3 linked regions of the Ovis aries genome follow. The protein of the gene in region 1 interacts with the protein of each later gene in a pairwise test. Links are inferred from orthologs where the notes say so. Each region holds a gene or a part of one and is shown in the gene's direction. Other genes may lie near its edges.

Evidence for each region. The genes of interacting proteins can lie anywhere in the genome.
Region 2: the proteins of TSC22D1 (region 1) and APLP1 interact in a two-hybrid assay, tested with the Homo sapiens proteins (2 studies listed by BioGRID and IntAct). The link is inferred for Ovis aries from reciprocal best matches to the Homo sapiens genes TSC22D1 and APLP1.
Region 3: the proteins of TSC22D1 (region 1) and CCDC90B interact in a two-hybrid assay, tested with the Homo sapiens proteins (2 studies listed by BioGRID and IntAct). The link is inferred for Ovis aries from reciprocal best matches to the Homo sapiens genes TSC22D1 and CCDC90B.

The regions. Positions count from the first base shown.
Region 1 is NC_056063.1:15,190,391-15,194,439, reverse strand, and holds the start of TSC22D1 (TSC22 domain family protein 1), read left to right. Parts: upstream 1-1,249; 5' UTR 1,250-1,512; coding exon 1,513-4,049. UniProt on the Homo sapiens protein: Transcriptional repressor. Acts on the C-type natriuretic peptide (CNP) promoter. Acts to promote CASP3-mediated apoptosis.
Region 2 is NC_056067.1:45,873,412-45,877,427, forward strand, and holds the start of APLP1 (amyloid beta precursor like protein 1), read left to right. Parts: upstream 1-1,216; 5' UTR 1,217-1,325; coding exon 1,326-1,454; intron 1,455-2,292; coding exon 2,293-2,436; intron 2,437-3,251; coding exon 3,252-3,384; intron 3,385-3,612; coding exon 3,613-3,725; intron 3,726-3,957; coding exon 3,958-4,016. UniProt on the Homo sapiens protein: May play a role in postsynaptic function. The C-terminal gamma-secretase processed fragment, ALID1, activates transcription activation through APBB1 (Fe65) binding. Couples to JIP signal transduction through C-terminal binding.
Region 3 is NC_056074.1:11,964,979-11,969,142, forward strand, and holds the start of CCDC90B (coiled-coil domain-containing protein 90B, mitochondrial), read left to right. Parts: upstream 1-1,364; 5' UTR 1,365-1,419; coding exon 1,420-1,501; exon of another isoform or gene 1,502-4,164.

The DNA.
Region 1 (4,049 bases):
AAGACCCGCCGCCGCCGCCTCCTTCTACCGCCAGACCCGGCTTTATGTCTGCGGCGCCGGGGCGCATGCGCAGACGCCATCTTCCCTCCGTCTCCTCAGCCGGCCCCCTCCCGCCGCCGCCGCCGCCGCCGCTGCCACCGCCTCCGCCTCCTCTCGCCCGCGGTCGCCCCTCCTCCTCCTCCTGCGCTCGGGCGCTGGTCCCTCCTCTCCCGATGCCGCGAGAGACCGGGGGATACGGCGGAGCCGGAGAAGAGCACTAGTAACAACCACCACAGCCCCCTCCTCGCCCGCCGCCCTCCCTCGGCACCCACCCACTCACCCGCCCCGTTCGCCGACACCGACCAAACCCCACCTCTCGTTCCTTTGAACGGCGTCGGCTGCAGTCGCTGCACCAGCCCCGTCTGGCCACCAACGCCGCCGAGAGAGGAGTCGCCGTCGCCTGCGGCCCCCTCCCGCCCGGGCCGCGGGAGCAGCGGGGGTGAGAGGACCAACCGGCTGCGGAGGACAAGGACGAAGCGGCTCGCACCACCGCCGGCGCTCCTCAGCGCACGTCCCGCCGCCCTCCGGGGAGGCTCGGGCGCCGGCCCCTTCCTCCCCGAGGACGTGTGCCGAGCTGAGGCGCCTGCCCGGAGGGAGGAAAATGCTCGGGCTCCATGGCTGCCAGTGATGGAGCGGTCCCTGGGCTCCCGCTGCCACCGCCGCCGCCGCGCCCCGGCCGTGCTCCGCGAGGACCCGGCGTCTCTGCGCGCCCGCCCGCGCCCCGTTGCTGGGCTCACCGTACCGGGCGCCCCGCCGCCCGAGCCTCGCCGCGCCGGCCCCAGTCGCGGCCAGCGTTTCCTTACGGAGCAGCAGCAGCCGCCGCGAGCCCAGGGGGTTTGAAAGGGTCCGCGGGGCCGTGGGGGGAGGAGGCCCGAGCCGGGCCGGCGGGGCCGGGAGCGGAGGTTTGAGCGACACTGACTGAGCTCGGGGCTCGCCGCCGGCAGCCGCGGCGGCGCTGGGGGGCGGCGAGGGGAAGGCGACACTCGCTCGGCGCCGCCTTCGTGCAGGGCGACCGGGAGGCTTTTTGCAGCGGCCGCCGCCGACGGGAGGAGGGGCGGAGGTGGCTCCGGAGTTGTCCGGAGAAGGTGGGCATTTCTTGGCTTTTCCCACCCCCCTCCCCTCGCCTCCCCGCTCCCCTCCCCACCCCCTCCCTCCCGCCCCGCACCCCACGTGAAGCAGAGTATAAAGGGGGTGTGAGGCCAGAGGGGAAAGTGGATGGCGAAGGACTGAAGGGGTGCCCCCCTTCGGGTCCCTGGCCGCCCCGTTCACCCTCGTCCATCCTCCCTTCCCGAAGCTCGCCCTCGAAGGCAGGAACGGCCGGCGCCTGCGGCTGAGGAGGAGGAGGAGGTGGGGGAATCGCGCCGGGCGGAGCGTCAGGTCCCGTTTTCCTCCTCGGCGTCTTGAATACAAAGATTACGGTGCAGAAGGAAATTGCACTCGCCTTCTCCGCCCCCCGCCCCGGTACCCAACACAATGCACCAGCCGCCCGAGTCCACGGCGGCCGCGGCCGCTGCAGACATGAGTGCTAGGAAGATGGCGCACCCGGCAATGTTCCCTCGAAGGGGCAGCGGCGGGGGCAGCGCCTCAGCTCTCGGTGCAGCAGGTACCGGCGTCGGTAGTAGTGCCCCATCTGCCGAGGATTTTCCGCCTCCGTCGCTGCTCCAGCCGCTGCCTCCTGCAGCATCTTTGTCGGGACCACAGCCTCCGCCTCCACAAAGCCTGAACCTCCTTTCGCAGGCTCAGCTGCAGGCACAGCCTCTTGCGCCAGGCGGAACGCAGATGAAAAAGAAAAGTGGCTTCCAGATAACGAGCGTGACCCCGGCTCAGATCTCCGCTAGCATCAGCTCGAACAACAGCATCGCAGAGGACACGGAGAGCTACGACGACTTGGATGAGTCTCATACGGAAGATCTGTCGTCTTCCGAGATCCTTGATGTGTCGCTTTCCAGGGCTACGGACTTAGGGGAGCCTGAACGCAGCTCCTCGGAAGAGACTCTCAATAACTTCCAGGAAGCCGAGACACCTGGGGCGGTCTCTCCTAACCAGCCCCACCTTCCTCAGCCTCATTTGCCTCACCTTCCACAACAGAACGTTGTGATCAATGGGAGTGCTCATCCACACCCCCTCCATCACCACCATCCCATTCATGGCCACCACCTGCACCACGGGCACCACCATCCATCCCATGCCGGTGTGGCCAGTACATCCATCCCTGGAGGGCCGCCCTCAAGCCCAGTGTCCAGAAAACTCTCGGCCGCGGGAAGCTCTGACGGTGTTATGCCAGTTGCACCAACTTCTGCTGTATCATCGAGTGGCTCGCCGGCATCTGTCATGACTAGTATCCGTGCTCCGAGTACTACCGGCAGCCTAGGTATAAATTCTGTTACGGGCACCAATACGATGAATAACGTTAACATCACTGCTGTGGGTAGTTTTAATCCTGCTGTGACCAGCAGCATGCTTGGTAACGCTAATATAAGTGTGAGCAGTATCCCCAGTGCTGCTAGTATGAGTGTCGGGCCTGCAGTGAGCAGCGGGGTTAATGTGAATATCTTGAGTGGCATGGGCAATGGTACGATTGCTTCCTCCGCGGCCTTTAACAGCGCTGCCAGTGCAGCAGTGGGCATGACAGTGGGGGCCGTTTCGAGTCAGCAGCAACAGCCAACCGTTAACACGTCCAGGTTCAGAGTCGTGAAGTTAGATTCTACTTCTGAGCCTTTCAGAAAAGGTCGATGGACTTGCACTGAGTTCTATGAAAAAGAAAACGCCGCCGTACCTGCCACCGAAGGGGTGGTGGTAAATAAGGTGGTGGAAAGTGTAAGACAGAACACGACGGAAGCGACTTCCGAGAGGGAGAGCACGAGTGGGAGCTCCGTGAGCAGCAGCGTCAGCACACTGAGTCACTACACGGAGAGTGTGGGCAGCGGAGAGATGGGCACCCTGGCGGCCCCGCCGGTGCAGCCGCAGCCGCCCCCGACCCTTCCAGGGGTGGCCCTTCCGCAGATGGACTTCAGCAGCACCGCTCCACAGGGCATTTCAGCAGTTAGCATCCCGCAGAGTATTTCTCAGTCGCAGATCTCGCAGGTTCAGTTACCATCTCAAGAACTGGGCTATCAGCCGAAGCCAGGTCTTCCACCAGTACCTCTGCAAGCCGGTATTCAGCCGTCACCTGTTGGCGTGGTGGGCGTCACTTCGGCTTTAGGTCAGCAGCCTTCCATCGCCAGCCTGGCTCAACCCCAACTGCCGTATTCCCAGGCCGCCCCCCCAGTGCAAGCTCCCCTGTCAGGGGCGCCACCCCAACAGGTACAATATGGCCAGCCGGCGCCAGCTGTGGCCCCTCCGATGGCCCCAAGCCACGGTACATCAGTAACTCCGAACCCACCCTCCGAGTATGTTCAGCCCTCACCGCTTCTCCAAACAGCGGTATCCTCTGGACAGCCCACTTCTGCAGGGGTGGCCGTGGGAGCCACGGTGATTCCTATGGCTCAGCCACAGAGCATCCAGCTCCCAGTGCAGCCCTCGGCAGTCCAGGCACAACCTGCAGGGGCAGCTGGCCAACCTGTTGGCAAGGCTCACACGACAGTAGCTGCGGTACCACCCGGCAGTCAAATCGCAAATATTGGTCAACAGACAAGCCTACCATCGGCACTGCAGCAGCCCTCCACCCAAGTCACACCTTCAGTTATCCAGCAAGGTGCTCCTCCGTCTTCACAGATAGTGCCACCTGCTCCAGCTGCGATCCTTCATCCGGGAGTTCAGCCCAGCGCTTCAAGCCTTCCTCAGCAACTGGTCATTGCACCCCAGAGTACCCTGTTACCTGTGCCTCCCCAGCCACAGGGGGTCGAGTCGGTAGCTCCAGGAGTGGTTTCGAAGCAGTTGCCTGCAGTTAGTCCTTTGCCCTCTGCTAGTAGTATTTCTGTTACAAATCAGGTTAGTTCAGCTGGTCCTTCTGGACTGCCTTCTGCCCCGACAAACTTGGTTCCGTCACAGAATATAGCACAAGCCCCTGC
Region 2 (4,016 bases), on another chromosome or scaffold:
AAAGTGAATATCTTAGAAATCCCCTGGCATTATTACTGTCAAGAAAGGGGTCCATTGAATCTGCCCCAAGGCCCTTCTTCTTACCCTAGACTACGAAGTGGCTGTAGAAAAAAAACATGAGCCACCCCGCAGCCCTTTACTATCCACTGAGCACTCGTGCTGCAGTCGTGGGGTTGTAAAGAGTCAGACACGACTGAGTGACTGAACTGAAGTGAGCACTCTAAGCTCTTTTAAGATACATCTGGACAAACAAACTTATGCAGATGCATGCACATGACAGGATTGCCCCAGCCTGCTTGGGGAAGACAATTCTACACTGTATTTTGGGAAGAGAAGGAAGTGAACCCTGAAGGGGAGGCAGCAAAGGAGAGGCTAGGGGTGGGAGAAGAGAACTGTCCTGATCCTCAGAGCAAGAATGGGGGTTGACCCTTATCTTGAGGTGATGGGTACCTGACTCAGCTCATCCTTAAAGAATGGGTCTGGGGGCTTTGGTTCATGCATCCTTGATCTAGGAATTAAAGGTTAACTTGACTAGGGCTCCTGGAAAGCAGAGGAGAAGGCCTGGACTTGTTGATCTTAGGGAGAAAGGGCTGAGGGCTTGGTCTCTGGTCCAGAGAGAGAAGGTGCCTGGGACCCAGACTCTTGGATCTGAGGGAGAAGAGGACTGGGTGTCAACTGCTGTGGGTTTTTTTGTTTTTTTTTTTTTTTTTTTTTAATCAAGCCATTTTATTGAAGGGTTTCAGAGGAGGATCGAAAGGCCGGGAGAACAATGAGATCAGACCTCCTTTTCCTGGCCAGAATCTCCCTAGCTTCACAATCATTTAAAGCTCAACTGCTGTGTTCTTGATTGAGGAAATTTTGGAGGCCTAGGACCTCAAGAGGGGACCTCAAGAGGATTTGGGGGTGGGGTCGGGGTTCCTGTGCTGGCGTCCCTGGAAGAGAAGAAAGACGTTTAGTGAGGGTCTGGGTCCGAGGGAGGAGAAAACTGGAGGTGACAGTCTTGGAGAACTCAAAATCCACAACTACGAAGCCTGTGACCCAGACTCCCGGGTAGGCCCTTCCATAGGCGGGACGCCTGGAGTCTCAAGGGGGCGGGGGCCTGGCGCAGGCTCCCACCCGGGGGTTCCAGGCTGCTCAGCTGTGCGCAAAGCTACCACGCTATTGTCCTGGCCGGGAAGGCGGGGCCGGCGCGGGGCGGGGCTGGCGGCGCCGGCGCAGCTCGGGGGCGTCGGCGGAGGCGGCGGCTGTGGCGCTGGGAGCTCCTGTCACCGCTGGGGCCCGGCCGGGCGGGAGTGCTGGAGACGTGAGGGCTCGAGGGCCCGGACATGGGGCCCGCCAGCCCCGCCGCTCGAGGTCTGGGCCCGCTGCTGCGGTTGCTGCCACTGTTGCTGCTGCTTCTGCGCGTGCAGCTCGCCGAAGGGAACCTGGCCGGTGGGAGCCCCAGCGCGGCCGAGGTGAGGCCCGGCCGGGCCCTAGGGGGTGGGGGAAGGGGCGGGACCGCGCCTCTGGACCCCGGGGCGGATAGGTCCGGAGCAGAAGGCGCAGTCTTTTCAGCCAGGTGGCCAGCCCTCAGGCGCCCCTAATAGCACTAGGCATTCAGAAACCCCTAAGTCCAGGCCCCAGCTCGTCCCGAAGTCTAGCCCCTTGAGACACTCTGGACCTAGGTGACTCAGCCCCAGCCCATCTGAATAGGACCCGCCGGGCAGCAAGGCATCTAGAGCCAAGAATCTGGGCCCTTTTTATCCTCGGGACCCATATGAAGGCTCCCGCAAGGCTCCCAGAACCCAGGAGGCTAGACCTCCAGTCACCGCCCCCCCAACCCAGGCTGTAGCTCTCCATCCCCCAAGGACTTAGTGTCCAGGCCTGCAGCGCCCTGAAGCCAGGCCTTGTGGTCTTTCCACTCGAGAATGATGCGAGCGTGAGCTAGGGGCGGAGGGAGGAGGGGCCAGAACGCCTGGGTTCTGGCCTTCTCCCCCGCCATTCAAGTTTAACCCCTTCGAGCTCCAGTGCGGCTGCGCTGGGGTGAGGGCGGGGCTTGTCTCCGCGGCAACAAGGCCGTGAGAATCCCGGGAGACCCCGAGTCGCCATAGCAACGGCAGAGCTGGGGCGGCCCCAGGCCCAGTGGGAGCTGTTTCCCAGGGAACCAAACCTCCACAGAGGCGGGTGCGCGACGCTTGATGGAGGGGGCTGGTGCTGAGGATGTGACCATCTGGGTCCTAGGGAGCAAAGGACCGGGGGACTCACATGTCAGCGTCCCCCGTGCCCTCGCTGATCCCTCCGCCCCACCCCCAGGCCCCAGGGTCTGCGCAGGTGGCTGGACTATGCGGGCGACCAACCCTTCACCGGGACCTGCGCACCGGCCGCTGGGAACCAGACCCTCAGCTCTCACGACGCTGTCTTCGGGACCCGCAGCGCGTGCTGGAGTACTGCAGACAGGTAGGCGGGACCGACTGAGAGGGGCGTGGCCAGCAAAAAAGCGGGTCCAAGCTGGGACCCGGTTGCCCTTAAGAAGCTAGCCGTGCAAAGGCAAGGTCCGGGGAAATGAGGGGTTCAAGAAGGCATGGGAAACTAGGGGACATGGCCAACAAAGAGGCAAAGTTAGGATAGGACTTACCTGTTTTTGAGAAACTAGGTCAAGAAAAGAGAAGAACCATGCAAACACGGCCAGCTGAGGACAGTGTCCAAGTGATGAGATGGAATTTAACAATGTGGTGGACACTTTAAAGAGCAGGTGTAGGTGGGCGTGGCAATTAAGAGGCGGGGCTAAGACAAAAAGACCTCGTGGACTCGAGTGACTCGGAAAGGGATGGAACCCAATGGGAGAGTGGAAAGCTAGGAGGTGTGGCTATGAAAAAGCAAGTCTAATACAAAAAGAAAGGATCCTGAGAGGCCAGAGGCGAGGCTTAAAGAAGGGTGGAATCTATGGGGAGATGAACTTGATTGGGGGAACGGGCAGAAGCGACTAGAAAAGAGATGGGCTTAGAAGGACAGCTTTGGGGTAATGGAGGGACCTTCATAAAGAAACCCGACAGGCAAAGGGGTGCAGCCTAAGGATGGAAGGGAGAGGTACTAAGGGGCGTGCCCAGTGACGGGTGGGGCTTAGATATCTAAGTCCTGTTCTACTGAGAAGCAGGGCCTAGGGAAGAGTGGTTCTTTCGAATACTAGAGCCTTGAAAAGGGACACGCCGTCGCAGGAGCGCACCTGGTAGGGGAGGGACAGAGGGCTAATCGCCCCGACTCGGTGCCCCCAGATGTACCCGGAGCTGCAGATTGCCCGTGTGGAGCAGGCGACGCAGGCCATCCCCATGGAACAATGGTGCGGGGGTGCCCGGGGTGGCCACTGTGCCCACCCCCACCACCAAGTTGTGCCTTTCCACTGCCTGCGTGAGTCACAGGCTGGCGGGTTGGGGAACGGAAGGTGGGGGGTTGGGTGGTAGTCCCCAGGGGGTGAGAGTCTGGCCCTGGTCTCAGGCTCACATTAGGGGGCTAGGTGCCTGAGTCCACAGTGGGACAGAAGCCTCTGAGGATAAAAGATCTGGATTCTGGGGTGGGGGGAGTTGGTAGGGCTGGTGGCTATGGGAGTGTCTCACACCGATGCTGCCCATTTTCTAGCTGGCGAATTCGTGAGCGAGGCCCTGCTGGTGCCTGAAGGCTGCCGGTTCTTGCACCAGGAGCGCATGGACCAGTGCGAGAGTTCAGCCCGGAGGCAGCAGGAAGCACAGGAAGTAAGGACCCAGCCCCTCATCCTCCCACCCCTCCCGAGAACCCAGGATTCCAATCCCCTAACACCCTCCTCCTCCACAACCCGAGTCTGAGCCTCAGCCCCCTCTTCCCAGTGGGACAGAACCAGGAATCCAGGCTCCAAGCCCCATCAGGTCCTCAGACTCAGGCATCCAGGCTCCCCCTCCACCCTTCCTTACTCCCCAGTCCTGGTATCTATGCCCGCTCTGCTCACAGGCCTGCAGCTCCCAGGGCCTCATCCTGCATGGCTCAGGCATGCTTTTGCCCTGTGGCGC
Region 3 (4,164 bases), on another chromosome or scaffold:
TGCCAGTAGCTTGAGTGACAGTATCTAATGGTTTATTTGGTAGAATTGATCATTATTTTTTAGAAAATCTTTAACAGGTAATAATGGTATGTCCTTCTGTTCTATTTTATTTTTTTAAACTGTGAGATTAAACTCTTTTTGAGGAGGGGTTGTTCTTTGTTTTTCAATTTTTAAATAATCACTTATATTTCCTCTCCATACACTGTTAAAGCCCTGTCAGGAATTATGTTTTCTTTTTTCCCGCCTACTTTAAACTGTTTATTTTGCATTGGGGTATAGCCGGTTAACAATGTCGTCGTAGTTTCAGTTGTACAGCGAAGGGACTCCTGTTCTTTTAATGTGTCTCAGTGCTTAGAACGGTGCTTGTCATGCGGCTGACACAAAGCTCTGAAAACAAATCTGATGACTGAGTGGTAACTTTACATTCTTGTAAGAATAATTAAGCCGCTAAAACCTGACGACTGTTTACCGCTTTGTTGTTGTGTTAGTCGCTCAGTGTGTCCGTCCAACTCTTCGCGACCCCATGGGCCGTAGCCCACCAGGCTCCTCTGTCCGTGGGATTCTCCAGGCAAGAGTACTGGAGTGGGTTGCCATGCCCTCCTCCAGGGGATCTTCCCCACCCAGGGACTGAACCCAGATCTCCCGCATTGCGGGCAGATTCTTCACCGTTTAAGCTAACAGAGAAGAATTTACAAAGAATACATCCCCGCATCTGAACCCCACAACTACTGCGTGCTGCTGTTTTCAACATTTTACCATGTGGGGAAAACTCTGGAGTAACTGAGGTCTGAGCGAGATAAAATGGTGATATATAAATCAGGTCGTCCCAAGAAACGAGAGAATTCAATTTCCCTTCTTCCCGTACACTAGAGGGCGAAGCGGCAAGCTTTGCAGCAGCAAGAAATTAGAAACGAGAGCCTCGGGGGGACTACACTTCCCAGAAGCGCTCTGCGCAACTCCCGGCATGCTCAGCGGCCAAGGCCTGCACGTCCCAGGTTGCCGCGGGGTTGGACGTTACTCTGTCGTTCCCTAACCCAAAGAAGTGATGGCCGCTGGCTCTCTGGCGGGAGACGGCCGTTTAGCTGTACATCTCATTGCCAGGGAACGGGCGTCGGAAGGTTCTCAAACAAGATTCCACTTCTTAGGGCGGTAACGGCGTGCACTGGTTGGGGTGGGGCGGTGAGAGAAGCGGAGCCGCTGTAAACCATGCTGGTGAGCTACGGGTCCGTCTGTGGAGAGGCCCAACTTCGCGAGACTGCGCGCGGTGCGAGCCTGTGCTGGGAAGCGCGTTGGAGGTGTTACGGGCCGAAAACTACATTTCCCGGCATCCTCTTGGCGCCAGAACTACGTTGCCCGAAAGGCTGAGCGGGATTCGCCCCGTCTTCTCACCCGGCTGCCTCCGGCTGGAAAACCCGTGAAATGTGGGGCCGCTGGGTTCGGCCGCTCCTGTATTCTGAGGTTTTGAGCCCCTGTGGGCGTTTTTCGCCGACCCTGCGGAGAGGTGAGGAGAGGCACCGTGTCGCCCGATGCCTTTGTTCGCTGTGGGGAGGTGGTGCCGGCTTGGGCGAGAGGAAGGCGAGGGTGCCGCCGCCTCCCTCCAGCCCGCTCCGGGGCCTGGCAACCCTGCTGCCGAGCCTCGCCCCGAGGGGTTGAGGCGGGAGGCGCGAGGGCCGAGAACGGGAGCGCGAGCCTCCGAAGGCCTGTCTTCCCGCCTGGCTCTTTCGCTCGAGCCCCGCCAGGTGTCCCTCTGAACCCTTCTCTGTCAAGGGAGGCTGGTCGTCCCCGCCCCCTCGCAGGCGTGTAGTTTGTGCCCGGAGAGGGCCGTCACCTTTCGCGGTTTGTTCAAACTTAGACTGTGTTACTCGGGTGCCTACCTCGAGCCCAGGTCATTTGGTAATCTACAGCGCCCGTTTCACTTCAGGTCCGCTCTATTTTCGCTGTAGTTTTCGGTTCGGTTCAGTTCAGTCGCTCAGTCGTGTCCGACTCTCTGCGACCCCATGAATCGCAGCACGCCATGCCTCCCTGTCCATCACCAACTCCCGGAGATCACTCAGACTCACGTCCATCGAGTCAAGTGATGCCATCCAGCCATCTCATCCTCTGTCGTCCCCTTCTCCTCTTGCCCCCAATCCCTCCCAGCATCAGAGTCTTTTCCAATGAGTCAACTCTTCGCATGAGGTGGCCAAAGTACTGGAGATTCAGCTTTAGCATCATTCCTTCCAAGGAACACCCAGGGCTGATGTCCTCTAGAATGGACTGGTTGGATCTCCTTGCAGTCCAAGGGACTCTCAGGAGTCTTCTCCAACACCACAGTTCAAAAGCATCAATTCTTCGGCGCTCAGCTTTCTTCACAGTCCAACTCTGACATCCATACATGACCACTGGAAAAACCATATTTTTCGGTACTCGGGAGCAAACTCCAAAAGACGGTGAAGGACAGGGAAGCCTGGCATGCTGCAGCCTGTAGGGTCGCAATGAGTCGGACTCGACTGAGCGACTGAACAACAAACGCTTTATTTACGCTGTGGTTTTCAGTACTTGGCAATCGCCTTTCAAGAAAAAGGAACGTGATCACGGGAAGCTACAGTGGTTGACGGGCAGGTGCGCCTGTCACCAGTGTGTGCTGGACAACTGAATTTATTGAGAGTCGTTTCCAGAATCTTTTCCCCACAATTTTTAAACCCTTTGGGGTTGTCTGCAGAGTAGTTACTTCGTACTAACCTCAACGTTCTCTATTCACCTTAAATCTTAAGTGCAGGGGAACTGAGATGTCCAGCACCACAACTTTGAGCTGTTTTGCTCGTTTCATTTTAGTCACACAGCAAGACTGCAGTTATTGACCGCCTCCCCGCGCCGCCCCCCCCCATCTCTAAGACTGCTGTTTAGTGCCCAGGGTCCTTGGCACGGTATTTGTACTTAGGATGAGCTGGTTGGATGGCATCACTGACACAATGGACATAAGTCTGAGCAAGCTGCAGAGATGGTGAAGGACAGGGAAGTCTGGCCTGCTGCAGTCCACTGGGCTGCAAAAAGTCGGACAGGACTGAGCGACTGAACAAAGGTATTAGGTTTGTGTGTGTATTTAGTCGCTCAGTCATGTCTAACTCTTTTGAGACCCCATGGAGTTTAGCATACATACACATTATGATGTACAAAACGGATGTTTTTTGAACCCTGGGAAATCACCCCAGTCTCAATTTTTTGTAAACTTTCAGAGCTAATATAATTTGGGTCCCTCATTACTAAACAAATATTTATTGAATGTTTACTATGTTCAAGTAGTTTAAGCTTGCCTCAAGTCAGTATTCAAGGAATTTGAAAACCTTGACCTCTGACTCAGGGAAGGATCTTAGTTTTCATCTAATTGAATTACTGTTTAAAAGATAAAATAAGGCACAGGAAGATGTTGTGGAAGTTTTGTGACCACTGGTGCTGGTTTCCTAGTTCATTACTATTTCTCTTACTTAGCAAAACATCAAAAACACTGAGCTTCTAAAAACAGATTTTTTGGTTGTCCCTGAGAAGTCAGTCACATAGATCTTGTGTTGGTTTATTATTTAATATATTAATCCTGATTGTCTTGATGGAACTAGAAAAGCATATGTCAACAGACCAGCATGTAAAAATATATATTAATGATCAGCTATGTTACTGAAGTGTTGCAACTCTAAAGTTAGTAATATTTTTTAATTTTTAAATTTAATTCAAGTATAGTTGATTTACAAGGTTGTGTTAGTTTCCAGTGTGGTGTTATATATATACACATCTATACTATATGTTCTTTTTCAGATTCTTTACCATTATACTTTATTTCTGTTTTGAAAATTCTTATTGAAACCTAGTTGATTTGATTTTATACATAGCAATTTGTATCTGCTGCCAAACCCTTAATTTATCCCTTCTCACACTCATTCCCCTTAAGTTTCTATTCCATGTCTGTGAGCCTGTTTCTGTTTTGTAAGCACGTTTGTCTGTATCATTTATTAGATGCTGCATGTGGGTGATAGCATATGATAGTTGTCTTTCTCTGGCTTACTTCATTTAGTATGATAGTCTCTAGGTCCATCCACGTTGCTGCAGATGGCATTATTTCACACTTTTTTATGGCTGAGTAATATTCCGTTTTGTATATAATCTCTCTTTTTTTGTTTAAAAATTCTTTTT